2 linked regions of the Macaca fascicularis genome follow. Each later gene encodes a partner of the first gene's protein in a complex. Links are inferred from orthologs where the notes say so. Each region holds a gene or a part of one and is shown on either strand. Other genes may lie near its edges. The genes, in order: ADAT3 and ADAT2.

What was found.
Region 2: the proteins of ADAT3 (region 1) and ADAT2 are in contact, whole or in part, in a crystal structure (PDB 9HMM), measured with the Mus musculus proteins. The link is inferred for Macaca fascicularis from reciprocal best matches to the Homo sapiens genes ADAT3 and ADAT2. Residues at the interface, in NP_001094076.1 of Mus musculus: Val217, Ala218, Pro220, Leu221, His223, Ile229, Asp230, Ala233, Gln236, Gly237, Glu270, Ser272, Pro274, Val276, Val290, Met291, Met294, Ala295, His298, Ala299, Pro311, Asp312, Leu318, Phe319, Val321, Arg324, Asp326, Leu327, Asn328, Pro349; in NP_080024.3 of Mus musculus: Val62, Asn63, Lys66, Asn67, Ala68, Thr69, His71, Met74, Ile77, Leu81, His85, Pro91, Cys107, Ile108, Met109, Ala112, Ala113, Leu116, Met117, Arg130, Phe131, Val137, Leu138, Ile140, Asp144, Leu145, Pro146, Asn147, Thr148.

The regions. Positions count from the first base shown.
Region 1 is NC_088393.1:2,524,301-2,532,912, reverse strand, and holds the start of ADAT3 (probable inactive tRNA-specific adenosine deaminase-like protein 3), read right to left. Parts: upstream 4,743-8,612; 5' UTR 4,675-4,742; intron 1-4,674.
Region 2 is NC_088378.1:47,650,801-47,659,626, reverse strand, and holds the start of ADAT2 (tRNA-specific adenosine deaminase 2), read left to right. Parts: upstream 1-2,974; 5' UTR 2,975-2,989; coding exon 2,990-3,085; intron 3,086-5,980; exon of another isoform or gene 5,981-6,044; intron 6,045-8,826. Other genes in the region: PEX3 (peroxisomal biogenesis factor 3), read right to left, coding at 2,536-2,608. UniProt on the Homo sapiens protein: Probably participates in deamination of adenosine-34 to inosine in many tRNAs.

The sequences.
Region 1 (8,612 bases):
CTACTCAGTCACAGAGGAGGCCCTGGCCGTCAGGTGGAGCAGGCAGCCGCTGGGGTGTCCCTGTCTACTCAGTCACAGAGGCGGCCCTGGCCGGAGTGGGGCTGCGGGAAGAGCTTGGATCACCCCTGGGGCTCCTGCTAACATCCCTGACTGCCGGGCAGCATGCCAAGGTGGCTCTCGGGTGAGAAAGAACCTCCCGGCCTGACATCACCAGCACCGTTACCATCCCTGCTGCTGGCACAGGTGAGGACAGGAGGCGGTAGGGTCACTCCACTGGAGAGGAAAGGCTGGCGGGGCTCCCGGTTCTCGGGATCACCCCATGAGAGGGGAGCCTGCCCTAGGCGGGCAGAGAGCACAGCAGAGAGGCAGGCGTGGGGACAGCCAGCCTGCAGAGACTGCTCACAGGGCCCTGGGGGACAGCGCTTCTGGCTCCCACATCTCTGGCATCCACCCCACCTGAACACCCCCAAACCACCGTCTCAGCTGGTCAGCCCTCCCCGACCTGCATCTCCCCCCACAGACTCGCACCGCAGGCCTGAGGCTGGATTCCAGGCATGAGCCACCACGCCCAGCCCACATATTTTTTTTTTTTTTTTTGAGATGGAGTCTCGCTCTGTTGCCCAGGCTGGAGTGCAGTGGCCGGATCTCAGCTCACTGCAAGCTCCACCTCCCGGGTTCACGCCATTCTCCTGCCTCAGCCTCCGGAGTAGCTGGGACTACAGGCGTCCGCCACATCGCCCGGCTAGTTTTTTGTATTTTTTAGTAGAGACGGGGTTTCACCATGTTAGCCAGGATGGTCTCGATCTCCTGACCTCGTGATCCACCCATCTCGGCCTCCCAAAGTGCTGGGATTACAGGCTTGAGCCACCGCGCCCGGCCCCAGCCCACATATTTTTTTGAGACGGAGTCTCACTGTGTTGCCCAGGCTGGAGTGCAGTGGCATGATCTCAGCTCACTGCAGCCACCACTTCCCAGGTTCAAGTGATCCTCCTGCCTCAGCCCCCCAGCAGCTAGGAATACAGGCATGCGCCACTGCACCAGCTAATTTTTTGTATTTTTAGTAGAGGCGGGGTTCTACCATGTTGGTCGGGCTGGTCTCCAACTCCTGACCTCAGGTAATCCACCCGCCTCGGCCTCCCAAAGTGCTGGGATTACAGACGTGAGCCACCCTGCCCGGCCCACATTTTTTAAAAGTATAAATTAGTTGGGCATGGTGGTGTGCACACGTAGTCCCAGCTACTCAGGAGGCCAAGGCGAGAGGATCACTTAAGCACAGGAGTTTGAGACCAACCTGGGTAACATGCAGACACCCCGTTCCTTTTTTCAGATCAATAAATAATAACAAAATCCTAGAAACCTTACACCTGTATGCTCACAGTACTTCTAGCAGACAGTACTGCCTCAGGTGGTGCTGGGACTAAGCCGCAGATGATCTTAAAACGACTCTGGACGATCCTGACCACCACCGCCCGCCGGACTACACATCCCTGCTGGTGTGGACGGCTCCTGCCGCAGGCAGGGATGTGTCTCTGGATAATTTCGCAGCTGCGCAGCTGTGGGCGCTACTCCTCGAGATGCATTGCCCGGTTCACACCTCAGCCGCCGAGGCGCCCCACAGTGGGGGGACAAGCAGCCAGTGGAACTCCGGGCCAGTGGACTTGGAGGGCACACTGTAGTGGCCCCAGCGCTGCCTGAAGCTCAAGCGTTCAACGAAGCACGGAACCGGAAGCGCAGTGGGAGCCGGGAGCCGGAAGTGCAGAGGTAGAGCTAGGTGCTGCCGCTGCCCAAGGCCCTGTGCCAGGTGGGGCCCATAGCAGTTGACTCGCTGGGCCCTCCCAAAACGCATACCACGCGCGACCAGGACCGCGAGGCCCGGCTGGGCCACAAACACTCCACTGTCTCCAGGGTCAAAGACAAACACAGCCTCGCTTGTCCCTCCAAGAGTACAACCTCTGTCTGATGAAAAACAAACGACCCAGGGAGGAGTGCTGGAACACTGCGGGCTGGGCCCGCCACGCCCTTGGAGGGCAGGTCAAAATCCTGGGACACTGCAGGCTGGGCCCCCTGCGCCCATGGAGGGCAGGTCAAAATCTCAGAACAGGCACTGTTCAGGCTGATGGACTGTCCCAGGCCAGGGCGGCTTTAACTGCCAGAGCAGCTCCTACCCACCCGCTGTGGTCCAGGGGGGATGACTCACTCCGGCAGGCAGTACAGCGACTGCCGCCCAACAGCTGGGGGGGGGGCCACCTGATCCTCCCCCTACCACACACGCCCAGAAGGCAGTCGACCACTGGGACCCCTCAGGAGGGCAGGTCACCACCTCCTGGCTGCGAGGGCTCAGGCAGCAGTCCTGATTCCTCCAAGCCTCGGCTTCCACCCCTGTGAAATGGGAATTCCTGCTCTGCCTTTTTTTTTTTTAAGGCAGGGCTGTCAGGCGCATAAGAGAAAGTGGGGGGATGGAGGGGCCTGACCATCTCCAGTAGCATCCAGGAGGGCCCCTCGGAGGCAGTGACCCACAGCCCAGCCTGGAAGGCTGGGGAAGTAGGGGAGAGAACACGGAACAGAGGGACAGCTAATGCTCAGTGCCAGGGCACACCAATAGTCTGCGTGGGGGCTTTTTTTTTTTTTGAGACAGAGTCTCACTGTCCCCCAGGCTGGAGGGCAGTGGCGTGATCTTGGCTCACTGCAACCTCTGCCTCCCTGGTTCAAGCAATTCTCCTGCCTCAGCCTCCCAAGCAGCTGGGACAACAGGTGTGCACCACTACGCCCAGCTAATTCTTTTTTTTTTTTTTTTTTTTTTGAGACGGAGTCTCGCTCTGTCACCCAGGCTGGAGTGCAGTGGCCGGATCTCAGCTCATTGCAAGCTCCGCCTCCTGGGTTTACGCCATTCTCCTGCCTCAGCCTCCCGAGTAGCTGGGACTACAGGCGCCCGCCACCTCGCCCGGCTAGTTTTTTGTATTTTTTTTTTAGTAGAGACGGGGTTTCACCGTGTTAGCCAGGATGGTCTCGATCTCCTGACCTCGTGATCCGCCCGTCTCGGCCTCCCAAAGTGCTGGGATTACAGGCTTGAGCCACCGCGCCCGGCCTACCCAGCTAATTCTTTATATTTTTAGTAGAGATGGGATTTTACCATATTGGCCAGGCTGGTCTCGCACTCCTGACCTTGTGATCTACCTGCCTAGGCCTCCCAAAGTGCTGGGATTACAGGCGTGAACCACCATGCCCAGCCTGGGGCTTGTTTTTTTTACACATATATATTTTGTTGCTTTTTTTTTTTTTTTTTTTTTGAGAAGGACTCTCACTCTGTCGCCCAGGCTGGAGTGCAGTGGTGCGATTCCAGCTCACTGCAAGCTCCGCCTCCTGAGTTCACACCATTCTGCTGCCTCAGCCTCCCTTGGGAGTAGCCAGGACCACAAGAGCCCACCACCACGCCCAGCTTTTTATTTTTAGTAGAGATGCGGTTTCAACGTGTTGGCCAGGATGGTTTTGATCTCCTGACCTCGTGATCCACCCGCCTCGGCCTCCCAAAGTGCTGGGATTATAGGCGTTAGCCACCAGGCCCGGCGCTATACATATATACCTAATTATTTTGAGACAGGGTCTCACTCTGTTGCCCAGGCTGGAATGCAGTAGTGCCATCATAGTTCACTGCAGCCTCAACCTCCTGGGCTCAAGCAATCCTCCTGCCTCAGCCTCCTGAGTAGCTGAGACCACAGACACGTGTCACCATGCCTGGCTAATTAAAAAAAAAAAATTTTTTTTTTGGAGAGTCTTGCTAGGTTGCTCAGGCTGGAGTACAATAGTGTCATCTTGGCTCACTGCAACCTCCACCTCCCATGTTCAAGTGATTCTCCTGCCTCGGCCTCCTGAGTAGCTGGTTTTACAGGCGTACGCCACCATGCCCGGCTAATTTTTGTATTTTTGGCAGAGATGGAGTTTCACCCTGTTGATCAGGCTGGTCGCGAACTCCAGACCTCAGGTGATCCACCCGCCTTGGCCTCCCAAAGTGCTAGGGTCACAGGGTGAGGCACTGCGCCCAGCCGTCCTAGTTTCCAAGGAGTCGATCCTGTGTTTCTGGCCATCCTACAAGGAGGCCTTCTCTGCAAGACAGCGGGGAACCTCGGCCCTCGGGGTAGGGTGTGGGAGATAAGTGGGGGCCTGTGATGGAAAAACCCGAAAAACTCGCACTCTAGGTAACGACGAGGAACGATGGTCAATTCTGGGGATGTACAAAGGACTAGGGGAATCTTCACGTAAAGGCAAACCAGAGCTGGGGAGGAAGGACGCGAAAGCGCCGGAAACCTGCGGGTGCGCGGTTCGGGGGCAGGGGACTGGCGGACTTGACCTGGGAAAGGGCCACCGGAAGCAGCTGGAGCGTACGGGGTCTCCCGACCGGGCCATAGGGGCGCGCACGCGTATAAAAGCGCTGGGCCCGGGGGAGCGCGCTCCTGAGGCTCCCCCCAAGGCCAGCGCCGAGCGCACGCGCATTCGCGCTACCTCCCCACGGCGCCCACCGGCCCGCCCCAGAAGCGCCCGAGGTTGGCGCGGGCCCCCCGTTTTCTCCCCACGAACGGCCGGCGCCCTTCACCGCCGAGACCCCCCATGTTCGCCCCTACTTCCCTTCTAGGGAAGCCTGAGCCTGGAGAACCCGAGACCTCGGCGCCACGCGCTTACCTGAGGGATCCGGGCGCGAGCGCAGCGCTTCGCCAAGTCTTAGCAACCGGCCCGGCGCGCCCCGCCCCGCCTTGCCTCGTCTCCGCCTGGCGCCGCGGAGCACGACGGGAGCGTAGTTCCAGGGGCGGGGTCGGCGCGAGGCAAAGGCGGGGCAAGGACTACAATTCCCAGCAGGGACTGCGCGCCACCTCGCCGCGCCGCCGCCTCGCCCCGCCCCCGCCGGCACTGCGCTCACATGACCGTCGGTGGGGGCGAGGCGGGGCCGCTGCGCTGGGCGAGCGCTGAGTTTACGGGTTGGAATCCCATGAAGCGGCCAGGGAAAACTCAGAACCTGCGGGGTCTTTGGAAAGTTAGCAGAGTGGGGAGGACGAGGCAGGGGGGGGGGACATTGACACCAGTCCCCTGAGACTGGGATGGGGCCAGGTTCCAGTTCTGCCTGTTACTGCACTCTGACCTGGGCGGTGCTCAGGTTTGAGTTTTCTCATCAGTACTGTAGGTAAAGAAGACCTCTTGCATCTCCTGGGCCAAACAAGCACACTTTTTTTTTTTTTTTTTTTTTTTTTGAGACGGAGTCTCGCTCTGTCACCCAGGCTGGAATGCAGTTCTAGGTTCACTGCAACCTCTACCTCCCGGGTTCAAGTGATTTGTGGCTAGTTTTTGTATTTTTAGTAGAGAAGGGGTTTCACCAAAACATGCACATTTTATGACCAATTTGTTACTCCTTCCAGTTGGACAGGTTTAACCAAGTGGTTCTCAACGGGAGGGAATTTGTCATCCCCTCCCCAAACAACTCGACAGTGCCTGGGTGTAACCAGCTCACGCTCGGATACCCAAGTCTTGCCAAACCAATAAGGAGGAAAAAGTGCAGTGAAACGAAGGCGACTTCATTTTTAGAGTTCGCAGTGGGGAAGCAGCTGGCTTAGGCCTCCAGAAACCCCTTCAAACTTGAGGCTGGGGTGAGGGGCTAAAAAAGAGGAACTTGGAATGGTGGGTGTGCAGGGGAGGTGCTGAATATAAGCTCTGTGTGGCTTAAAAGCACATGCTGGCCTCATCCTAATAACGGCCAGGTTGCAGACCACGTTGAGGAAATCTCTGGGATTTTGCAGGTGGGTCTCCGTTCTTGGTCTGTGTCCAGATTGGCTCCTGGAACTTTCTTTTTCTTTTTTTTTTTGAGACATAGTCTTGCTCTTGTTGCCCAGGCTGAAGTGCAGTGGTGTGATCTCGGCTCACTGCAAGCTCCGCCTCCCAGGTTCAAGTGATTCTCCTGCCTCAGCCTCCCGAGTAGCTGGAATTACAGGCACGCACCACCACGCCCGGCTAATTTTGTGTTTTTAGTAGAGACAGGGTTTCTCCATGTTGGTCAGGTTGGTCTCGAATTCCTAACCTCAGGTGATCCGCCCGCCTTGGCCTCCCAAAGTGCTGGAATTCCAGGCCCGAGCCACCATACCCAGCCTGCTCCTGGAACTTTTAGGTAATCACATAATTAGATAGACGCATACAGTTAGGTAAACTCGCAGAGAGTGAGGGAGTTTATGGTGAAAAAGGGGAGGACATGGTGTTTCAAAGAAAGTGCATTTCTTTTTTTTTTTTTTTTTGAGATGGAGTCTTGCTCTGTCACCCAGGCTGGAGTGCAGTGGCGCCATCTCGGCTCACTGCAAGCTCCGCCTCCCGGGTTCAGGCCATTCTCCTGCCTCAACCTCCCCAGTAGCTGGGACTACAGGCGCCCGCCACCACGCCCAGCTAATTTTTTTTTTTTTTTTGTATATTTAGTAGAGACAGGGTTTCATCATGTTAGCCAGGATGGTCTCGATCTCCTGACCTCGTGATCCGCCCGTCTCGGTCTCCCAAAGTGCTGGGAGTACAGGCGTGAGCCACCGCGCCCGGCCAAGAAAGTGCATTTCAAGGCCGGGCGCGGTGGCTCACGCCTGTACTCCCAGCACTTTGGGAGGCCAAGGTGGGTGGATCACCTGAGATCAGGAGTTTGAGACCAGCCTGGCCAACATGGTGAATCCCTGGCTCTACTAAAAATACAAAAATTAGCCGGGCATAGCGGGGGCCTGTAATCCCAGCTACTAGGGAGGCTGAGGCAGGAGAATCAGTCGAACCCGGGAGATGAAAGTTGCCGTGAGCTGAGATCGCACCACCGCGCTCCAGCCTGGGCAATAGAGTGACATTCCATCTCAAAAAAAAAAAACAAAAAACAGCATTCCAGGAAACTATTTCGCTCTCAGTTAGTTGCTTTCTTTTTTCCTTTTCTAAATAAAAACTCAGACTGCTGTGAGTTTCACTTTTTCTTTTTTTAGCTTAAATACACATCTCTCCATCACTGGATGCCTTATGCAAACTAGCCAAGAGCCCCTGTTTTGCTGATTTGTTTAAAAAAAAAAAAAAAAAAAAAGGACAGCCTTTATTTGGTAAGTCATTAAATCCAAAGCCCAGATTTTCTGCATCTAAAAAAATGAATCTAGGCCAGGCATGGTGGCTCATGCCTGTAATTCCAGCACTTTGGGAGGCTGACACATGAGGTTTGCCTGAGGCCAGGAGTTTGAGACACATACCACCATCTCTGCAAAAAAAAGAAAAAGAAAAAAACAGAATTGCTGGGTCCGGTGGGGCACTGAGTAGCTGGGACCGCTGGGACAGCTACTCAGGAGGCTGAGGTGGGAGGATCATTTGAGTCCAGAAGGTCAAGGCTGAAGTGAGCTACGATTTTCACTCACTTTCACTACGATAACCACTGCACTGCAGCTGGCTAATTTTTGTATCTTTGGTAGAGACGGGGTTTCACCATGTTGGCCAGGCTGGTCTCAAACTCCTGACCTCTGGTGATCTACCCGCCTCAGCCTCCCAAAATGCTGGGATTACAGCGCCAGTCACCATGCTTGGCCTTCTTTGGGGTTTTTGTTTTGCTTTGGGGCTTAAGCTAGTTTCAGTCATGATTTTGGCCTCTACTGATGGGACCCCCTTTTTTTTTTTTTGAGACGGAGTCTGGCTCTGTCGCCCGGGCTGGAGTGCAGTGGCCGGATCTCAGCTCACTGCAAGCTCTGCCTCCCGGGTTTATGCCATTCTCCTGCCTCAGCCTCCAGAGTAGCTGGGACTACAGGCGCCCGCCACCTCGCCCGGCTAGTTTTTTGTATTTTTAGTAGAGATGGGGTTTCACTGTGTTAGCCAGGATGGTCTCGATCTCCTGACCTCGTGATCCGCCCGTCTCGGCCTCCCAAAGTGCTGGGATTACAGGCTTGAGCCACCGCGCCCGGCCGGGACCCCTTTTTTAATTGACATTGTTCTTTATCCAGAACCTTTCAAAAGTAATGTGACCCACAGCCTGTGTGCTGGCTCACACCTGTAATCCCAGGACTTTGGGAGGCTCAGGCAGAAGGATTGCTTGAGTCTAGGAATTTGAGATTGCCGTGGGTAACATAGCAAGACTTTGTCTCTTTCTTTCTTTTTCTTTTTTTTTTTTTTAAAAGAAAAAAGAACATAGCTGGGAGTGGTGGCGCCTGTAGTCTCAGCTACGCTCCGGGAGACTGTGGCAGAAGAATGGCTTGAGCCCAGGAGGCAGAGGTTGCAGTAAGCTGAGATCATACCAATGCCGCTTCACTGCAGCCTGGGTGACAGCCAGACTGTCTCAAAAGAAAAAACAAACGGAATGTGACCCTCCCAACTCATAGTAATGGGTCAGGGTCTGGCATCGAAATATTGCAAAATCATGGAGTTGGTTCCCCAATCGTGAGCTTAGTGGACGCAGAGAATCAGCCAGAAACCTAGGTCAGCCACTGGCGGGCTGAGTAGCTATAAGCTACAGATATTCAAGAAATGACCAGGGCCGAGCTCAGAGGATCACACATGTAATCCCAGCACTTTGGGAGGCCAAGGTGGAAGGATCGCTTGAGCCCAGGTGTTTGAGACCAGCCTGGGCAACATAGTGAGAACTTGTC
Region 2 (8,826 bases), on another chromosome or scaffold:
TGGGTAAAGAGCAAGACCCTGTCTGAAAAAAAAAAAAAAAAAACAAAAACAAAAACCGAACACACCCAAACACCCAAAACTGGTCAAATTATACAAACTGGTGTAAACCAATTAGTTACCCATCTAAAATTCAAGGAAACAGAAATTGTTACTTAAGAAGGCCTGCTACTGAAGGTTTTACTTACTTATTTCCCCCACGATTGAATGACCAAACTTCTCCAAGCATCCTGTTGATATACTGTCCAGCTTTCGAGCCTGTCAAAATGTGTCTCTTTTTCCATGAAATTCTTCCTGATTTTTCACAACTGTATATGCTACTTGCCAGTGTGATCTGTACAGCATTTTTTCACCTCTCTTGTTTTTCTGTATCTTAATTACATGTATACTTGCTTTTCCTTCCTATCAGACCATAAAGACCATGGAAGCACAGTGATATAATGTGGAAAGAGAATGTGCTTTGGGGTCCAACACACCTGGGTTTGAATTCCAGTTTCCCTTCACTAATTCTGAGACCTGAGGCAAGTTTCTTAAATTCTTAGGGCTCTTGTTGCCACATTTTTGAATGGGGATAATAATAACTGCCTTCTTGTCATTCTGCCTAAATAGGAAGAGCTTAGCACAATGCCCAGTGTAAAGTGGGCTCCCAATAAATAGTAGCTGTTACTATTAAAAATCTATAAATCTTGTATTTCCATACATATTACTTTCAGCACTACAGGTACTTGATAAATATTTCTTAAGTCAGATTAATTAAAATCTAACATACTGTAGAACTTTCTCCCTGAAGCAGAAAGAATACGAGGCTCAAACAAATGCCAACCATGGTCATCTACTCTTCCTTTCTTTTCAGACTGACTCCTTTATTGATATAAAACACTAGGATTATTTTCTCTTTCTATCCGTCTGAACTTTTCTTTTTTTGCATTCCTCTTATTCTGTAACTATAAGGCTCTTGTTAGATTTTTTTTTTTAATTATAAATTTCTTTTAAGTCTACTCTTTTGCTTCCCCTGTGATTATTTCTAATTTACCACAAGGTTGTTCCATAAGCTGAAGGAGTATTCCTTCTGAGATTGTTAGAGATAATTTTCCTTCCTTCGGTAAAGGCAAAAATACTTTATTTGTATTGCTTCAATCACACATCTATTTTTAGCTTTTATAAATAAAATGGACTCAGTAGTCTTAGGATAATTTAAATATACATTAGATACTAGAGAATGAAGATATCAGAAAATACCTTTTATATATAAAGGATTTCTCAAAGATGTTCAAAATTTACACGCTTATTATTGATCTGTGATAGATGTCAGAGGCATGCAAACACCATCCTTGGCTCAGCAACAAGAACTCTGTTTCAAACTTTGAAGCATCACCAAAATCTGAACTATTGATGCTAAGAGTATTGTTAATTGCAAATTGTTTGGGGAGAACAGAATACAATCTAATAAGTATTGTTAATTTCAAATTGTTTGGGGAGAACAGAATACAATCTAATATGTATTGTTAATTTCAAATTGTTTGGGGAGAACAGAATACAATCTAATACTAAGAGAAAAGCCAACCAAATTCTTTGGGAACCTCTGTTCTTTATTTTAAGTACTTCTGTAAACACAGCACATAATAAGTGATAAGAATATTTCTCAAAAACTCAAGTTACAACAAATTTCCTCTTTTAAAGTTCCTAGATGTTCTTTTCATATAATTCACAAAGCTTTTTATTCCCTCCTTCAAATCCCTGAATATTATCACATGAGCATTGTATGAGGGAAAAGGGTCTCAAGATTTTTATCTTATCTGTTTCTAAATCTCCTCTGGGCCCGTGCAACTCAGCTATGTCAGTTAGATTACAACGATCCCAACCTTGAAGATCCTGAGGAAGACTGCGCAACATCCCTCAAGCATTTTTCTTACTGCCACAGTTTGTATTCTAAAATGGCAGAAACAGAGCTAAAATATTGATTTGTTTTTCTTTATCTAATCCATCTCTTTCAGTCCTTCAGGACAACTGCGCTGTTTTCAAAAATTCAAATCGACTTTAACCACCACCTAGATTATTATTAAACTCCCTCCCCTAGATTATTATTAAACTCCTGAGAGTTTATTATTATTTATTTATTTATCATTTATTATTAAACCACCTCCCCTAGATTATTATTAAACTCCTGAGAAGGGTGAGAGCCATAGTGCCAAGAGTGCCAAGGAAAAATGAAGAATCTCACAGGAAAGCAGAATTTTTTTTAAAAAGTTCCTGTAACAGAAACTTAAACTGTACTGAATTCTCCAAAGGTCCGTGAGAAAAAAGGATAGGTGAGAAACAGTTAAGAGGCGGTGACAGGGCAAAGGGCACAGAGGCATTTCTCAACTGCAGAGATGGGAGAACCCTTGAGGTTGGCCACCTCCCTTTCCATCCCATGGTTGATCGAATCCCCTCTACAGATCCCAGACTAGGTTCGCCCCGGCCTGTTCTTATTTTAGAAAAAGTCACCTCTCCCACTCCCTTCTCCCAATGCCCCCTTTCAAGAACGTTGTCACCCACCTCCAAGGACCGTGCCCAGGAAGATGCATTTCTTTTTGTGGCGTTTCAGAAAATTCCATACGGACCTCAGCATCTTTAGGCCCTAGGGGTGTGCGCTGACTATGAGTGAGGGGCTGCTTCACCGGGAAACTGTTTCTTCGTCACCTGGCCCAGATGACCAAGCAAGAGCGCCGCCGTCCCGCTCTGCGCTCTCCCGAAATCACAAACGCGGCTTTCCGCAGACTGTCACCGGAGCGGCAAGGGGGCGTGGACTAGAGCAAAGCAGCTGCGCTTTCTGCGGCTGCCGCGGCGCAGCCGCCGCTGCTCACTGGTCCGACACGCCCAGGTCCGTTCAGAAATCGCTCCCGAGTGCCTTTCCATTCGACTCCCCCGGAAACGGGGGCCCGGGCCCGCCGCGTTCCGCTGCCCGCGCTCCTCCTCCGCGGCGGCCTTTGGCGCTGAGTGGTGGCCGGGTATGGAGGCGAAGGCGGCGCCCAAGTCAGCTGCAGGCGGCGCGTGCTCGGTGTCGGCAGAAGAGACCGAAAAGTGGATGGAGGAGGCAATGCACATGGTGAGGAGCCCGGGAGGTGAATGCTGCGGGGTGGGACCTTTCTCCAGCCCTCACCCCAACCACGGCATTTGAGCAAACGTTCTTTCTCGTCACCATAATTTTTATGGCAGTCAGATGTTCTGGGTGAACTACTGGCTTTACTGCCTCGAAACTTTCTGTAGCCCATTCTCACAGTGACTATGGGCGAAGGAAAGGGAGGAAATACAGAAATTATTTGTTTCATTGGGGTGGAGTATGCTGCAGACTTAGCATTCTGTCGCTGGCTGGCACGTGCTGCCTCCCTTTCCTTTCTGTGGTCACACTCTCCAATCTACAAAATCACATTATTTGAGGTTTTGGCCCCTGGACCATGTCCAGCAGAAGGAAGGAAACTGAGAACGTTTCTGGTAGAGAGCAGTATGGAAACAAATCCCTGTAGAATCGGTGTCTCGCATTCATTCATTCTTTCCTCTGCCCTTTTACGTCCTTCCCTCACTCCCTTCAGGTCTGCGGAGTAAAGGGGCCTTTCAACAGAATGGTGTGTGCTAGCGAGCTTCTTAACTGGGAAAATAGTTTGTTTGCAAACATGTATATTTACATTTTAATAACTGTACATACAGCCACGTGCCACATAATGACCTGTCTGTAAAGGTCGTTATCCTGGAGCATTAAATCTACTCACCTTAGCCCTATTGTCCCATCCAAGTACTAACCAGACCTGACCCTGCTCAGCGTCCGAGATTGGGGGACGTTCAGGGTGGTATGGAGGTAGACAACACTAGTCTCTATGTAGACTTCTGGGCTAAACCTTTTTGCCACCTTTTAGGTTGACCTTGGGCTAGCACAAGTAAATACATTTACATACGTTTACAAACAAACTGTTATCCCAGTTAAGAAGCTCGCTAGCACTTTTCAGCTCCGTTATAATCTATAGGACCACATATACAGCGGTGGTCCTATAGGATTATAACGGAGCTGAAAAGTTCCTATTGCCTAGTGACATGTAGCCCTCCTAACAAGTACTTTTTTCCCTTTAAGACCTTGAAGAAACATGTATATGCCAAAACCCAAGAAGCAGCTGCCTCCTTAGTCTTGTGTAGGAGGAGGTAAACTATGGAATCACATCCCTAGGTGTTTATAATACAATTGAGAGACAAAAATTTCAAAGCCAGAGAGGTCTAGAAATTCTTTGAAAACATCCACATGTTTAAAAAGATAAGATACAAAGTATCATGGCCAGATGCAGTGGCTTATGCCTATAATCCCAACACTTTGGAAGGCAGAAGCAAGAGGATCTCTTGATCTCAAAAGTTGAAGAACAGCCTGGGCAACATAGCGAGACCCTGTCACTACTAAACAAAAATTTAAAAATCAGTAGGGCATGGTGGCATGTGCCTGCAGTCCCAGCTACTCAGGAGGCTGAGGCAGGAGGATTGCTTCAGCCTTGGAGATTGAGGCTCTAGTGAGCCATGACTGTGCCACTATACTCCAACCTGGGAGACAGAACCAGACCCTGTCTCAAAAAAGAAAAAAAAGATACAAAGTAAAGGAAATCGCAGAGAAGGAAAATATTTGCAACATATATAAAAGGACAGGTTTAATAACCGTAACATAGAATTTATATAAAATCTAAGTACTTTCTGAGGTAAGAGGAAATATGTATACCCTAATACTGAAAAGGTCAAAGGATATGAATATATTTCTTTTTAAAATTTCCTTTTATTTTTAAAAGTGTTTTTTTGTTTAGACAGGGTCTCTCTGTGTTGCCCAAGCTGGTCTTGAACTCCTGGCCCCAGGCAATCGTCCCACTTCAGCCTCCCAAAGTGCTGGGATTACAGGTGTGGGTCACCACACCTCACCTGAACATGATATTTCTAAAAGAAGTGACGAGTAGCCAGCAAATGAATGAATACACAATTTCACTATTAATGAAATTCAAAGTAAAATGATACACAATTTTTCACCTGTTAAATTGGCAAACGTGAAAGCAATTTTAATGCTTGGTGATAATAAGGATGTGCATGTTTGAGGTGTTTGTTGGTTGGGAGGAACTGAATTTAGAACACCCTTTTATTAGGACAATTTGGCTAGGTAGATATAAAAGGCCTTAAAAGTGAGCTTATCCTTTGATCCATTAATGCCCCCCCTTTTTTTTTTCCCAAAGTGAAAATATTTTAATGTTTTATTTTTCTGATTATGTAAATAATTCATGGGCATAAAAAATTCAAACTATAAAAAAGGGTTAACCAATTATGTAAAAATTACCTGACAGTCCTATCATTAGAGATAATACTATTAGTGTTTGGGAGCATCCTTCCATATCTCTCTGTCCATATGTAAACAGCCATATGTACTTTTGCATAAATGGATTTACATGTTCTCTTTTTGATTCTCAGCACATTTTTTTGGTAGTCTTAATATATTAATCACTCCTCCCTACCTCATGGTATTTCTGTTGCTATGGAGTGACTATCAAAAATGGGACAAAGGATGTATGTGCTTTGAAATTATATAGATACTCCTGTATTGCCTTCTAGAACCATGATGCCCAATATCGTAGTCACTAACCATGTGTAGCTATTTAACTTTAAATTAATTAAGGTGAAATAAAATAAAATCCAGCTCCTCAGTTGTGTTAGCCACATTTCAAGTAGTCAGAAGCCACATATGACCACTGGCTACCATATTGGACAGTGCAGATCAAAGGATATTTCCATAACTACAAAAGGATTTGTTGGATAGCATATAAAGTTATCAACTTTACTACTTGTTAGGTTTCTTTCTGAGAGCTAAGCATAGCATCATCATAGGTTATTGTTTTAATCATCATAGCATGTTCAGCATAGCATTCTAAAGATAGGCTTGGAAAAAAAAAGTATGACTAAGTAATAGTGTTGCACTCTTGGTGTGTTCCAGATACTATGCTATGCACAGTGTTTTCATGTGGGCCATGTCATAAGCCCCACAGCAGCCCTATCAGGTGAGTATTATTATGGTCCTCATTTTCAGATGGGGATATTGAAGCTGAGAAAGTTCAGTAACTTTCCCAAAGTTAGAGAGCTGGTAAGGATGGGGCTGTGACTTGAGCCCTGTCGTCTGCTGTCAAATACTGGCCTAGCCTGCCTCTTAGTGTTAGGTAGCTCACTGCTTGCCAACATATCCTCTGCTCTCTTTCTTCCTTTTCAGTTTCCTTACCCTGAATACTGTATATCTACTGTGTAATTTAATTGGACATTTAGATTTTTTCTTTTGTGAATTGCTGAGGCATATACTTTGCCCAATTTTACTAATAGTTTGATTTAAAAAATCGCACTGTAGGAGCTCTTTGTATTTTACAGCTGTTTCTAGGAATAATTCACAAAGAAGCCATAGAAATATTTATATGGAGATGTTCTTATTTATAATAGTGAAGAATTTGAATCACTTAAATGTCAAATAATAGGAAACTAGTTAGTTGAATCAAATATGTTCATAAGGAGAAATACTGTACAACCTTTACAAAATCATGTCATGAAAAAGTATTACCCAATGTAGGGAAAGGTTAACAGTACATTTCTAAATGAAAAAGGCAGACTGCTGAACTGTATATATAGTGTAAATCTCTTTGACTTTTTAAAAACTATCAATATGTGTATGCAGGGCCTAGGGAAAAAAACAGAAAAAACTTCTGTTGCCTCAGAATAACAGGGATTATATTTTCGGGTATTGGGATTCCTAGTGTATTTTTTTTTTTTTTTTTTTTTTTTGATATATGAGGTTTTTTGTTTATTTTTTTAATCCCTAAGTTCACCTTGAACATATCTTACTTTACAATTAGGAAAAAAGAAAGATTGACTATATATATATGTATAGAAAAAAAATGTTGCAAGTTTTCTAGAAAAAAAGTCAGTTGTATTTTTTTGTAGTATGCATTTTTGGGGCAGTTGGTATTAATATAACATTATGCTAGGCTCTGAGGGAAATTCAAAAAGAAAACAAACACCGCAGATACCATTTCAACAAATGTGGTATGATTACCATTTCAACAAATGTGGTATGATTAAGTTTTTGCTATGTGTTAGACCTCATGCTGGGTGCCTAGGCTGCAGAGGTGAGCAAGAGAAGCTTCACAGTGCCTGGATCTAGTGCTTGCCTTCCAGGAACATACTGTTTAATTGATGAAATTAAGCCATGCACAGATGAAAAGGTTGGTAAGGAACATATCCGATGACCACAAGAGACAGATATAAAGTGCTATCACATAACAGCTGGCAAGGTCCTACAGCACGTCAGTTGAGATATATGGTAGAATTCCTTGTAAATTTTAAGGGACCAAAAGGATGTGGGCTGGTTGAAAGGAAAGGTTGATCCAAGCAAAGATACTGTCATGTACAAAGAAATCAAGAACTTTGTTTTGGGTTAGAAGGAGATCTAGCTATCTGTCTAGAACAGGGCTCCCTAACCTCGGGCTTAGGTTTAGGGGGATCTATGAACCCTGAAACTATATATAAAATGTTATGTGCATGTGCCTTTTTCAAGTGGGACAGTCCATAACTTTCATCAGAGTCTAAAAGGGGATTTCGGCTCTGAAAAGGTTAATAACCTAAATGAATAATGAAAAGTTAGGTTGGTTTGGCTGGCCAATGAGAGGATGGGTGGTAGTTGGGAGATCTTCAGTGCCATATTGAAGAATTTAAAGTTGATGGAGTGAAAACATCATCACTTTTTAAACCCCTGAACTTAAACTATATAACTGTTTCTGCTATTTACTCAGAGCGTAATCACTCAGAAGAGAGTAATTAGCAGAAACAGTTACATAGTTTAACCTTTTGGACATGATGATGTTCTACCTGAGAGTTGTTCTGGCTAACATGTTTGTTTCCCCTAATTTTTTGTCTTTATAGGAAATATTTCTTTGAGGGCTCATCAGAGTCTGTGCAAACAAAGTCTGTCTCCATTTCTCCCCCTTTTATCATGACATCACCGGAAAGCAGTTTATAGTAGTAATGTCTTTGGAGAAAGTAATAAACTATGAAGTCTCTTCCATCTAGGTGCTTTCATTATGTGTAACTGGGCAGGCCCTGACTAAAGAAAAAAAAGAGATTACATTCAAAGACAAAATAGAGACCAGTGTTTGGGCTGGGAAGAACAGAGATTTTATTCTTTAATTTTGAAGGTTGATCTTTTGTTACTTTACGCAAGACGTAGTCGCAATTTTTAAATATTATCTGACCTTGTTCTTTCCCTCTGAAAAAGGCAAGAAAGGTTAAACTCAAAGCTACCTGCACAAATTTCAGACCCATTTTGTCTGAGCTTTTTTGCATTTGTGAAGAAGTGATCAGACTCGACAGTAGAATTGGTGGGAGTGTTTGAAAGTATGATATGGGTACGGTGTGAAATTGATTTCCAGCTTAATTAAATCTATTGTGAACTTGTTAGTGAAGCAAATCTATGTGTTAATTGTTGACAAGGAGTTCCCCTCAGCTCACTTTCATGAGGCTTTATGTTATTCTCACTGCCCCCTCCCTTGCCTAGCATTCTAGTTGCTTACCTACTCATCCTCAGCATGGCAGGCTCGGCCATTCCTCATCAATGACGTTATTTATCCTTTTAAAATATTCCAGTCACTCATATTTGCTCTCTGTTTTGGACAGCAATGGAAAGAATTTCAGGAAAAAAAAGTGTTACTTAAAATAAACATGAAGACAGTATTGAGAGGAGTAAAATGAAATAAATTTGCTAGAAGGAAAAAGAGAAAAATGCAAAGGAAGGAATAGAAGGCA